Linked DNA regions of Arabidopsis thaliana. The protein of the gene in region 1 interacts with the protein of each later gene in a pairwise test. Each region holds a gene or a part of one and is shown in the gene's direction. Other genes may lie near its edges.

Evidence for each region.
Region 2: the proteins of AT2G05330 (region 1) and ASHH1 interact in a two-hybrid assay, tested with the Arabidopsis thaliana proteins (one large-scale study listed by BioGRID).
Region 3: the proteins of AT2G05330 (region 1) and AT5G60140 interact in a two-hybrid assay, tested with the Arabidopsis thaliana proteins (one large-scale study listed by BioGRID).

Annotation. Positions count from the first base shown.
Region 1 is NC_003071.7:1,937,994-1,941,252, reverse strand, and holds AT2G05330 (BTB/POZ domain-containing protein), read left to right. Parts: upstream 1-1,782; coding exon 1,783-1,887; exon of another isoform or gene 1,888-1,919; intron 1,920-2,092; coding exon 2,093-2,635; 3' UTR 2,636-2,676; downstream 2,677-3,259. UniProt on the Arabidopsis thaliana protein: May act as a substrate-specific adapter of an E3 ubiquitin-protein ligase complex (CUL3-RBX1-BTB) which mediates the ubiquitination and subsequent proteasomal degradation of target proteins.
Region 2 is NC_003070.9:28,789,165-28,794,779, reverse strand, and holds ASHH1 (SET domain group 26), read left to right. Parts: upstream 1-2,060; 5' UTR 2,061-2,163; exon of another isoform or gene 2,164-2,354; 5' UTR 2,355-2,408; coding exon 2,409-2,429; intron 2,430-2,506; coding exon 2,507-2,571; intron 2,572-2,665; coding exon 2,666-2,822; intron 2,823-2,982; coding exon 2,983-3,069; intron 3,070-3,261; coding exon 3,262-3,346; intron 3,347-3,434; coding exon 3,435-3,528; intron 3,529-3,617; coding exon 3,618-3,816; intron 3,817-3,923; coding exon 3,924-3,958; intron 3,959-4,076; coding exon 4,077-4,893; 3' UTR 4,894-5,060; downstream 5,061-5,615. Other genes in the region: AT1G76720 (eukaryotic translation initiation factor 2 (eIF-2) family protein), read left to right, coding at 1-187, 279-398, 505-636. UniProt on the Arabidopsis thaliana protein: Histone methyltransferase involved in regulation of flowering time. Required for the expression of the SOC1/AGL20 gene. Required for histone H3 trimethylation on 'Lys-4' (H3K4me3) at the SOC1 locus.
Region 3 is NC_003076.8:24,213,317-24,217,227, reverse strand, and holds AT5G60140 (AP2/B3-like transcriptional factor family protein), read left to right. Parts: upstream 1-1,711; 5' UTR 1,712-1,876; coding exon 1,877-1,889; intron 1,890-1,971; coding exon 1,972-2,042; intron 2,043-2,113; coding exon 2,114-2,770; intron 2,771-2,905; coding exon 2,906-3,151; 3' UTR 3,152-3,363; downstream 3,364-3,911. Other genes in the region: AT5G60142 (AP2/B3-like transcriptional factor family protein), read left to right, coding at 1-533, 620-711, 803-1,048.

The DNA of each region.
Region 1 (3,259 bases):
TAAAGAACAACCTACTACAATTAAAATTATAAGTTTCTTTTCTGTATTAAAAATACTGGAAATAAATTAGTTTTAGAATCGGAATGGTCAATCGGTTTAAATATATCCATGGGGTTACGATTCATATTTAAAATGAAACTATATTTACAAACATCAACAAAGAATCAAAATCACTTACACATCGATTGACCCAAAAGTATATTCAACTTGGACCATTAGCGGAAGCTATTGACATGTAGAACCGATTATAATCAGATCATGTTCTTCAAACTGAAGGAGAATTTTGGTTTCCAATTTGGATAGGAGAGAATTAGTTTCCAATTCATCAGTTAGATAACTTTTTCGAGTATTTGTTATTAATTAATAAATAAAATGATGCAAAGAAATTTAAGAAATAATAATGTTAATATAAAACAAATCTAATTCAAGAAAACCATATAAAATACAAAATAACATTAGAATACATAATCACGGAAACTTTACGACTAATTAACATTAGATTGAAAATTTTAAACTAACTCAGAATATTTTAAATAAAAATATTATTAAAAATAAAAGAAAAAAAGAAATAAGTTTTAGTTACCATGGGACGAGTTTATATGTGAGACAGATTTATATGGTGAGATGAGTTTGGATGAGAGAGATTTTTTGTTTGTCTTTTAAAAAACAACACTATAGTATATCAAAATAAGAGTTAATCTTCTTTCACACCTCTAAATGTTAATCTTCTTTCACACCTCTAAATGTTAATCTTCTTTAACACATCTAAATATATAATTGTAATAAAAAATTATTAAATTACCTATGTTCTAAGGGTAAAATTAAAAAATATAGAAATTTTAAATTATATAATTTAAAATACAAAAATTTGTGAATAAAACATAGGGTATACGGGACATATACTAGAAGATAAAATAATATTAGACTTACTAATATCATAAACTTATGACTTAATAAAAACCGTACACAACTTTATCAAAAATTATTAATCAACACAAACAACAATAGACATTGTACACAACAAATTCTTCATTTTGTAAAAATTTAAAATAAACAAAAAACTTAACCCTTGGTGTACCACGGGTCACATTCTAGATACGTATAAAATTAGGAGATACACACTTTGTATATAGATGCGTATAATATATATGCTTCCGGAACTATACAAAACCATATAGAAACATACTAATATAATCACTAAGTGTAAATAGATATAAACAATGAGTTTTGATAAATTGAATATCTAAGATCATTATTTAAATATAGATGATATTGAATTGAAACATTAAATTAATTCAAAACGAAAATAATCAAGCAGCAGTGTACCGCAGGTCAATATCTAGTTTGTTACATTAGCAGTAAATAGTCATACTTTATTTCATTATCTATAAAAATTGTACCCAAAAACAAATTTAGTTAGAGAAAGCGAGATAAATGGTAATTGTTGGTGTGCATATCAATTGAAGATTTCAGAAATTTTGTGACCCAATTTCAATTTTAATCCGATTCGCCAATGGTATTTTGGATAAATACTTTGAAAGACCAAGGTTTTTTGCCAAATATTCCAGAAAAAAAAACTAATATATATTTGATAGGTCTTATCCATTTCCAAATCTTGAAAATTGGACGCAGATGGGAAATATAAAAAGTCATTTCCAAAGTCTTGAAAATTGGAAGCAGATAGGAAAAGTAAAAAGTTATTTTGACCGTTTTCAATTGTCATTATCTTCTCTATATAATCCACCATCCTTTACAACCTCAAATATACGTTACATTATTGATATGGCAACACAAACCAACCAAGACCATTTCTCTGGGGACTTGCGAAGATCTTGGCAGAAAATTGGCAAGTTGACGTACGGCTCAAGGCAGTGGATAGTGATGATGGTTCAATTATCTCTGCCCAAAAAGTTATTCTGGTCTCTTCTTTTTTCATCTTCTCTTTATTGATATCATCATCTTATTCAAGAATCAATTAAATTTAGAAATGTTAATGTTTAGTGAGTGTTCCTTTTATGTGAAGTTTTTTTTTGTTGGGTTGGTGTGGTTATTGTAATGATTCTCTCAACAAGTATGTTTGGGATTTGAATAGGCATCAAGATCGGCGGTTTTGAAGAAGATGCTAGAATCAGACGAGTTCAAGACTTCGGCTAAGCAGGTGGGAACAATCACTCTCTTAGAGATGAAACAAGAAGAGCTAGAAGCTTTTGTTGAGTTTCTATATAGTGATGGTTCTATGCTTTCTTCGAAAGTGAAGCAACATGCTCGGGCACTCTATCGTGCGGCTGACAAATACGAGATTCTCCGACTACGAGAGCTATGCAGATCTGAGCTTATATCTTCTCTGAATTCGACGAATTCTCTTAACCTTCTTGAGCTCGCACAAATCCCTTTTGACAAAGTCCTCAACGATGCAGCCCTTAGTTATATTAAAACAAATGAACTTATGTTTCCTAGCTTTGATGAGTTCAAGTTGTTCGTTGATAATTACCCAAATCTTGCCGTGGAGGTAATGATGGCTTCTCTTACTCGGACTCCTAGTACAAGCTGTTCTAGGTGTGGTCTCATAACCTATCATAATCAGACTGGTACAAGCTGTTGTAGTTGTGGTTTTGACTATCCTCGTCGCAGCTAGATGAATCACAATGTAGTTTTTGTCGTATCAAATTAATAAACCATTTTTTATCGTTTTTGTTTCCAAAACTTACCAAGTCTCGTATTAAAATGATCGGGTTTTAGATTTATCTTTGTCTAATATTATTACATCTCTTTTCCTATGCATGCAAAAATAAGAAAATATATCGATTGTAAACCCAAGTAAATTGTTCATCTTAAAGATATTAGACTATGGGTACCAGTGCCCTTTGACTAGAAAGCGTTTAGACCATCTCTAATGGTGGTTTTCTAAGGGGCTTTAAATGTATGAGTCCGTAAAAAAAAGCTCAAAATAAATAAAAAATGCCAATATTGTTAATAGACATCCTTAATCTTAGGAATTTTTGGAGTGAAAAAGACTCATATGTGGCTTTTTCTAATTGGTCCGTTTACTGGAGTGAAATGTGTTAACCAACTTAAATATCCAAAAACTCGAAAAACATCCACCGATGTTCTTAACTAGCTAGGCCAATACAACGAATTTTCCCCTATAACGATTTTGATTATTAGAAAAAATATAGTTAAGAAAAATATAAGTAAGTATAAAAAAGGTGATTAATTTCGTTTATAGACATTTCAAAATGATCTATGGTAAAGTTGAATA
Region 2 (5,615 bases), on another chromosome or scaffold:
CGCTGATATCATCTATCAGTTATTCAATCAGTTTCAGGTTTACATTGAGAATATCAAAGAGGAGAAAAAGAAGGAATCAGCCGGTGAGGCAGTCTTCCCATGTGTCCTTCAGATTTTACCTAACTGTGTGTTCAATAAGAGAGACCCAATAATCCTTGGAGTTAAGGTCCACGACGGTATACTTAAGGTATCCTATTCTTACTCTGCTATATTCTCGGTAACTTGCTCACATGTCCAAGGATTCTCAATCCTTTTAACATTCGTCTTGTTTGTTTTAGATCGGAACCCCCATTTGCGTCCCGGGCAGAGAGTTCACAGATATTGGCCGCATTGCCTCTATTGAGAACAACCACAAGCCTGTTGACTATGCAGAGAAGGGCGACGAGGTGGCGATTAAGGTAATAAGGGGATCATTCCCTTCAACAACCTTTGTATAGAGAAAGAGAGAGAGAGACAAAAGTTGTTGAGGTTTCAACTTGATGCTTTTCTCTGGTTGTATAACAGATTGTTGCTTCAAATCGCGAAGAACAGAAGATGTTTGGAAGGCATTTTGACATGGAAGATGAGCTTGTGAGTCACATTTCGAGGAGATCTATCGACATACTCAAAGCTGACTACATGGTAAGTCAAGGATAAGATAAGTTGTTTCCCATCTACGTTTTCTTTGACTCATTATTCTGACCCAAAACAAATGCTCGAAATTAAAACCAATAACAATTGCAGAAAGAAATGTCGACAGAGAAATGGAAGCTCCTATTGAAACTGAAGAGAATCTTCAAGATTCCCTGAACAGTCAAATGTCTACTCTAGAGCTTAAAACACTCGCGGGCCTTGTTGTTACGTCGTGTCTGCTGCATAACGAAGGGATTTATCTTCCTGATTCGTTTTTTTAATAACTATATTAGGCTGAAATTTGTAACCCTGTTAATTAATTTAGCCAATATCAAGAAAACTCTTAATAGGTAATACTGAAATTATATAATCTTATTGAAATTCTAAATTCTCATATAAAGCATGTTATTTCGTTAAAGAGAGTTTGTTACAGACTCTGACTTATATAGAGGCCTCTTGAACCCGGTCTACACACTAAACCTTAATTAGGGTTAACTCAACCGAGCTACAATCATCATATACAGTATATTATTAGTATATATCTTCAAATAATAACCGGGAAGAAAATGTGATGCAAAATTTAAATAATGATGACTAAAGTAGCAAGATGAATTGGTGCACACAAAAAGAAAAGTAGCTAGATGATAAAAAAAAAAAGTTATAGCTAAGCCCAGGCTGTGATTTGCTCTACTATTTTCAAATTATACAAAACTGAAAGCAATACAAAATGGAAAGTAAATGAAGTGGAGACTAGTTTTTTTTTGTTCTTGTTTTTTTCCCAATTTAATCATTTTTATTTACTCACTAAATAAGTAATTAAAAATTAAGGAGAGATGGGTTGGTTATATTATTATATAATATCAACAAATATAAGAATATAATGTAGTTTTTATTACTTAAATTATCGAAATTTGTATAATCTTATTAAAAGTTAAATTATTAAAATTAAGGAGAGATGGGTTGGTTATATTATTATATAAAAATTTGTATAATTTTTGAGGAGCAACCATAGTCCAAGACCCCACCAAGGCTAAAATCACTCCGACGGCGATGGCAATAACTCTTTTTTTATCTACTCCTATAGCCATCGTTAGAGCCATCTCCCTTTACTTCATCTAGCCAAATAACTTATTTTGTGTTTTATGATCATATTTTAAAAAGTTGCATGTACCCATTACAATATAAACACCCAAAAAGTGATACTTCTTATAACTCAATAAATGTATCTAACAAAATTAGAACCTCTTTTTTGATATATTTTTTTCAAAAATATTAATTTAGAATCGTGATACAAGATTTAACACAAAATGTAATCAATGAAACGACATATAGTGTGGTCTCATAGATGTTAGTTACATGATATCTACTTTAATTAAGGTCACGATATTATTAACATGATAATTTTTCTTTTCTTTTTAATTAATTTAGCTTTGTCTATTGTTTTTTCCTAATTTTAAAAAGAAAAAGAAAAGTTGGTTGCATTCTTTTCCTAACGCCGTCTATTGTTCTTCGTCCTCGCTCGTCGTCGCGTTCTCTCTCTCAAACTCTCAGGTAAGCTTCTTCAGTTTCCCACTTTCCCTCTTACACCAATATCCAATTTTGTGTGTTTGCAAATAAATATGTGTTAAGTAATGTGGTTTCGTTTCTAGCTGCAAGTTTCTTCCTTTCCAAAGGTTTGTGTCGATCTTAAAATCCCAGAGTTTGATAAACCTAATTCTCTCCTTCCGTTTTTAATTTTGTAGAAACTTGACCTATACTAGGCCCTGAGTCTGATTGCGAGAATCGCTGACAAAAAAATGCAATTTTCTTGTGATCCTGTAAGTGAAATTGGGTGAGATTTCGATTTGGTTTGTTTTGTTTGTGCGAATTTCGCCAATGATGTTTTTGTGTGAAGGATCAAGAAGGAGATGAGCTGCCACAATATGAACACATTTATCAAAATGACTTCTCTTATCGAAAGTAAGATCCTTTCTTTGATTGCTGGCTCGTGGCTTTCGGTTATCTTCTCAGTATGCGTTGTTGTTAAGTACACATTTGTTTAACGCTTCTATAGGCACAAGAAACAAAAGGAAGAAGATATATCTATCTGCGAATGCAAGTTTGATTTCGGAGACCCTGACAGTGCTTGTGGTGAGAGATGCCTCAATGTCATTACCAACACTGAATGTACTCCTGGTTACTGCCCCTGTGGTGTCTATTGCAAGAATCAGGTTAACAACTTGAAATCTTTGCTTCCACGTTTTCATGTAATTCTAGAATCTAAGATTTGCGTTAAAGCTTGGTGATGTTCTTACAAGTTCCTATTCAAACTAATGATAATTGAGTTAAATGAATGTTAATTAGTAGTTTTACATGCTTTGCCGGTTACAGAAGTTCCAAAAATGTGAATACGCCAAAACAAAGTTGATCAAGTGTGAAGGTCGTGGTTGGGGACTAGTGGCTCTTGAAGAGATAAAGGTGAGGACTCAAAATTTATTCTTGTGTCTTTATCATGTCTGATACTCTTTACCAAGATTTATGACAATTTCCGTCACACTTCGTTGATCTAATGCAAATGGGCAAATAACATGGCTGGTGTATTCTTTTTCTTAAGTAAATAGTCAATTGGGTTTGATTAAATGACTGGTTGTATTTGATGCTATGATTTAGGCGGGGCAATTTATAATGGAGTACTGTGGTGAAGTAATATCATGGAAAGAAGCAAAGAAGAGGGCTCAAACTTATGAAACTCATGGTGAGTAGAAACTTTACAGAGATGATGAGAGTGTTGTAATGCTATAGGTGATGTTAGGTGATGTGTTAATTATGTGTTACATGAGCAGGTGTCAAGGATGCATACATTATATCTCTCAATGCATCTGAGGCTATTGATGCCACTAAGAAGGGAAGCCTTGCTAGGTTTATAAATCATTCATGGTAAAACGAACAACTGGCTTTTTACATGCTTCAAAGAAATTCATATCTATAAAACGTTCCTTATCGTTTCTTTCTCTATTTTCCTGCAGTAGACCAAATTGTGAGACGAGGAAGTGGAATGTACTGGGAGAAGTTAGGGTTGGGATCTTTGCAAAAGAGAGCATCTCTCCCCGGACCGAATTGGCTTACGACTATAATTTTGAATGGTACGGTGGTGCCAAAGTGCGTTGTCTCTGTGGTGCGGTTGCATGCTCTGGATTTCTTGGAGCCAAGTCTCGTGGCTTTCAGGCAAGTCCTTACGTTATCATCCTCATAGTATTATTTGTCAAAAATTGGGAGGAATGAAATTAATCATACTGGTCTATACCTAACCTTATACCTTTCTATCATTTCAGGAGGATACATATGTATGGGAGGATGGTGACGATCGGTAATTTTCTTTTCACTTATTTTATGCGGCATAAAAATGGTCATGGATCTTGCGAGAAAGGAATGTTTTTCATCTTGGACTGGCGATATTTTAGCCCCTCTCTTTTCTTTGTCTCCAGGTATTCAGTTGATAAAATTCCAGTCTATGATTCTGCAGAGGACGAGCTTACATCTGAGCCTTCTAAGAATGGCGAGTCCAACACAAATGAAGAGAAAGAGAAAGATATCTCAACAGAGAACCATTTGGAGTCTACTGCTCTGAATATTCAACAGCAATCAGATTCAACTCCAACTCCTATGGAGGAAGATGTCGTCACGGAGACTGTTAAAACCGAAACATCTGAAGACATGAAGCTGCTCTCACAAAATTCACAAGAAGATTCATCGCCAAAGACTGCAATTGTATCACGGGTTCACGGTAACATTTCCAAGATCAAGTCCGAATCTCTTCCGAAGAAAAGAGGCAGGCCGTTTTCAGGCGGAAAAACAAAGAATGTCGCTCAGAAGCATGTTGACATAGCGAATGTGGTTCAGCTACTAGCAACCAAAGAAGCTCAAGATGAAGTTCTCAAATACGAGGTAAAACAGTTTTTCAAGCGTATAGGTACAAATTCAAAACCTTCTCAGTATCAGATGTGTTTGGTAAATTGTTGCTTGCAGGAGGTGAAGAAGGAAGCAGCAGTACGACTCTCGTCATTGTACGACGAGATAAGGCCGGCGATTGAGGAGCATGAAAGAGATAGCCAAGACAGTGTAGCAACAAGTGTGGCGGAGAAATGGATACAAGCAAGCTGTAATAAACTCAAGGCAGAGTTTGATCTTTACTCTAGTGTAATAAAGAACATCGCTTCCACTCCCATCAAACCACAAGACACAAAGACCAAAGTCGCGGAAGCAGGAAACGAAGACCATATTAAACTCTTGGAAGCCAAATGAGAATTAGCTCGGAAGGACACCTCTAATGGACAAAAAAATATCTTAAGAACTGGAAGCTAACTTGGTTTACTTTTCACGTTTGAAAATGTAATAAATATTTTTAAAATGAGAACATTTTGTTGAAATTTAAAATTTTAGTAATCAAATTTTTATTAATCAATTCTACCAAAAAAATAAAAATTAGTAATCAAAATAATTTAATAAAGACATTTTGAATGATAAAAAAAACTTTTTTAGTTAAAATTTTATATTTATGTAAAACATATTGATCGTAGAACATCGCTTAAGGATTTTATACTATGGGGGGATGTTGTGTCCAATTATTTTACACATATTGAATTTAACACTTAAAAACAAAAATATTATGTATATTTTAAAAATTAAAATATTTTGTGTAAAATATTACTTAAAACATATTGAACGTAGAACACCGTATAAGGACTTCATACTATGGACGGGATGTTGTGTCCAATTATTTTACACATATTAAACTTTAACACTTAAAAACAAAATATTATGTATATCTAAAAAGTTAAAATATTTTGTCTAAAATATTACTTTAAAAATAAAAATAAAAACCTTATATTTTAAATAGTTATAAAAATAATATAAATGTTAAAATTTAATATGTGCAAAACATATTGAACCTAGGACACCACTAAAGGACCTCATACTATGGACGGGATGTTGTGTCCAATTATTTTACACATATTAAACTTTAA
Region 3 (3,911 bases), on another chromosome or scaffold:
AGTGGCGTTTAGGAAGTTTTGTGGTGATAGTGAGAGATTTGTTATGGTTAATGGGTGGAAGAAGATAGTCAAGGACGAAGATTTGAAAGGTGGAGAGTTCTTAGAATTTGAGTTTGATGGCTCTTGGTGTTTCAATTTCTGTATCTATGGTCGTGCAACGTGTAAAAGGCTTAGAAGTTCAGTGCAAATCACGGTTCTTGATGACAATGATGATGGTTTTAATGATGATCAAGATTATGGGGAAGAAGTTAAATCTAGTGAAAATTTCATAGTTCTTGATGATGATGATATTAGTGATGTTCAAGATTATAATGAGGAAGATACATCTAGTGAAGATATTACAGCTCTTGATGATGCTGATAATGATGATATTAATGATGTTCAAGATTATGTTGAGGAAGATACATCTAGTGAAGATATCATAGTTATTGATGATGATGATGATGATGATGATCAAGATTATGGTGACGATGATCATGCTGATGTTGAGAAAGAAAGATGGAGAGGAGTCAAAACAGAGAAAAAAAAGAAAGGTATAATAGAAACTTTTGTCTTGTGAAGTTAACTGAGACTGAGAGCATCACTGTCTTTTTATTTTCTTGCGTATAAATTTTGATAGGTTCTTCTGGAGAGCATGACAGACAATATCTGGATAATCACATGAACCCTTTCTTTACAGTGAACCAGCATCGGCAAATAAAATATAATATGGTAAGAAATGTGAAGAAAGTCTCATGTCTTTTTGCATTTTCATTAAAATAATGTACCACTTCTGTTTTATGATGTTATCTTTGTAATGCAGCTGCGCATACCAACTAAGGTCATAACGAAGTATGGCTTACACTTCCCTGAGTTCATCAATTTGATTGATCCACTCGAGAAAAACTTTGGTAAATTGAAGAGGAAAGTTAAGGGTCAAACAATCAAGGGATTCCGTAGTATAATCAGAAGGAATAATGTGAAGTTGAATGACAAGGTGATTTGTGAGTTAGAAAAGGAGATGGATGGTCTTGTTCGAGAAATCAAGGTCCATGTTATAAGAGGATGATCTCTTGATAAGGCTTTATGCGTTAACTCCAAGACATTATCTATTTTTACTTGAGAGTTTTTATATGAGTAGAGTACTTGGTTTTATGAATCTTATTGGTTTTCTCGGAACATAATCGATGTTGATGCTTTCTATACACTTCTTGATTTTGTTTGTTTGTCTGAAACATGAAGTGCAAAAGACGATCAACACAGTCTTACAATAATAATGTATACTAGAGCTATAGATTTTGGGAGAAATCATTATGAATGGTTCACACATCAGGGCTGTTTAAAACCTGCGAGTTCATGTAAAAAGAATGTTATTACTCTCTATGTGATCATAAGAAAAGCATTGGCATAGGAGGAGAATAATACTAAGATACTTGGAACTCTGCCACTTAACACTATCTCATTCTTCTTTCAAGTTTCAAGTTTCTTGTTCAAGAATTGAGATGTCACAAGTCCTTCTTTCTCTAATATACCCTTCTCGACTCTTTACTGTGGTTCTTTTGTTTAAGGACGATAATGTCATTTACACGATATAGATTGAACCAAACTTAAGGCCCATTTCTTGTTTTTTGTTTGGGCCTTAGCGATACCTTGGTCCGCTTAACGAATTATTTTTGAATAAGAAGAGTACTATTAATGGTTTGTTTTCCATTTGAAGGAAAAAGCATCGAAACAGAGAGAACCCTCTGTTTTTGCAAGTTTTTGCTACAAAAGGCCAACACCTTTAGATCAAATCACATCTGGAAAAACTTGGATCTGGAGAAACTTTGTTCACCTTTTTATTTCCGATCAAAATTAGGGTTCAGAGTATTTCCAAGAGCACAAGAAGTTGACGACAATGAACACAAGAGGTTTTTCACTTCTCTGTTCCTGATTCTTCCCTTGTAATGTGCTCTGTACATTGATGTTCTTCCTTTTCTTATTTTGGAACAGGAAATTACTCTAATGGTTTTACTTCAAAGTTCTTTAAACCGTACCTTCCTAGTGAATCCGGTGATGATCTGGTAATAAAACACACTTCTCTTCACTCTGTTTTTTGTTTTCTGGTTGCTTGAAATTTGTAGAAACTTTTCAGGTACTACCCATTTCTTTCAACAGCTGTTTACCAAAGTCTTTGCCTAAAACTGTAACTGTTAGAAGCATTTCTGGAAACATTTGGAAATTAGGGTTTAAGAAATGTGGTGGTGAGGTTGAGAGATTTGTTATGGTTAGTGGTTGGAAGAAGATTGTAAGGGACGAAAACCTGAACGGTGGAGATCTCTTGTCATTTGAGTTTGATGGCTCTCATTTTTTTAATTTCTCTATCTTTGACCATGAGACTACGTGTAAGAGGCTTAAGAGAAGTTCAGAGCAAAGCAAGGACATCATCAAAGTGGGATCTGATTGTGAAGAAGAATCTCAGGCTAGTGATGATGTTATCGTTCTTAATAGTGATGATTCTGACGATTCTGATAATGATTATTCTGTTGAGGATGATAATGTTGCTGAGGATGATGATGGTCTTGAGGATGAAGTAGATGTTGAGGCTGAGGATGGTTATGATGCTAAGGATAGTGATGGTCTTGAGGATGAAGATGATGATGAGGCTGAGGATGGTTATGATGCTAAGGATGATGATGGTCTTGAGGATGAAGATGATCTTGAGGATGAGGATGACGAAAGGCGGTATCTGGATGATCACGAGAACCCGTACTTTACTATGACACTCAATCCGAAGAAGAAGAGCCAATTGGTAAGAGAAAAAAAAACCTGAATATTTAAGATCTTTACACACTCTCCATTTAACATCTTTGGTTATGGATTCTTATGTGAATAAATTAATAAGGAATATCTCAATCTGTTTTATGATGTTTGTTTCTTGATGCAGCACATACCGGCTCATGTCATAAGGGACTATGACTTAACCTTCCCGGAGCGTATAACAGTCGTGGACGAAATGGGAGCATTGGAGAAAGCAATCAAGATTCAAAAGAATGGTTGCATCTTTGTCAAGGGATTTGGTAGTTTCATCAGAAGGAACAAAATGAAGATGACTGACAAAATGATATGCGAGCTTAAGAGGACTGGAGGTAATCTGGTTCACACCATCAAGGTCAAGATTATCAGCGGATGATCTCTTCACTAAGCTTTTGTGAGTCTTATGTGTCTTAGCTGTGAGTGGTTTTTATTATGTTACTAATGGTAAAATGTCTATCTTAGGATTTGGTTTATAACTAAGGATTTGGGCGTGAGAGATGTTTTCATGTTGAATTAAGACTTTCTATATAGAGTTCATGTCTCATTAAATCTCTCTGTTTTCTCTTGCAACAAACTCTTGAGTTATGCCGTCTAGACAAATCTTGTTGCTTTGTTGCCTGCAGTAAGTAGGGCAACGTCCTCCAACGGATTCATACAAATAGTACTTACATTGTTCGGACAAAGGTCGTCCTTTGTGTTGGAGTAATCTCAAAAGACATTATAGTAAAATGACAAATGGGTTTGGGTTTGTGTTTTGTTGTTGGCACCACTTTTGTATACAAACTTACAAATCAAAATAAGAAAGAGAACCAAACAATATGTTGCAAATAGATTTGGAGGAAATCACTAGGCCTTCCACTGACTACTATAAAACCCCATCTCGAATGGGACCAAAATAATTTAGGTCCATTGGTTTTCGCGGGCCTTGGTTCTTTCACGAATCTTCTTTTAAAACGAAGTCGTTCTAAGTAGTCTTTTACGGTTTTACCATTTGAAGCAACAAGTATAGAAACAGAGAGAAACCTCTGTTTTCAAGTTTTTGCTACAAAAGTCGAAAGCCACTCAACGGAAACCGTACTATCTGAGAAATCTGGGGTTTGAAGAACTGTACTCATCTTAAAATTAGGGTTCCAAAT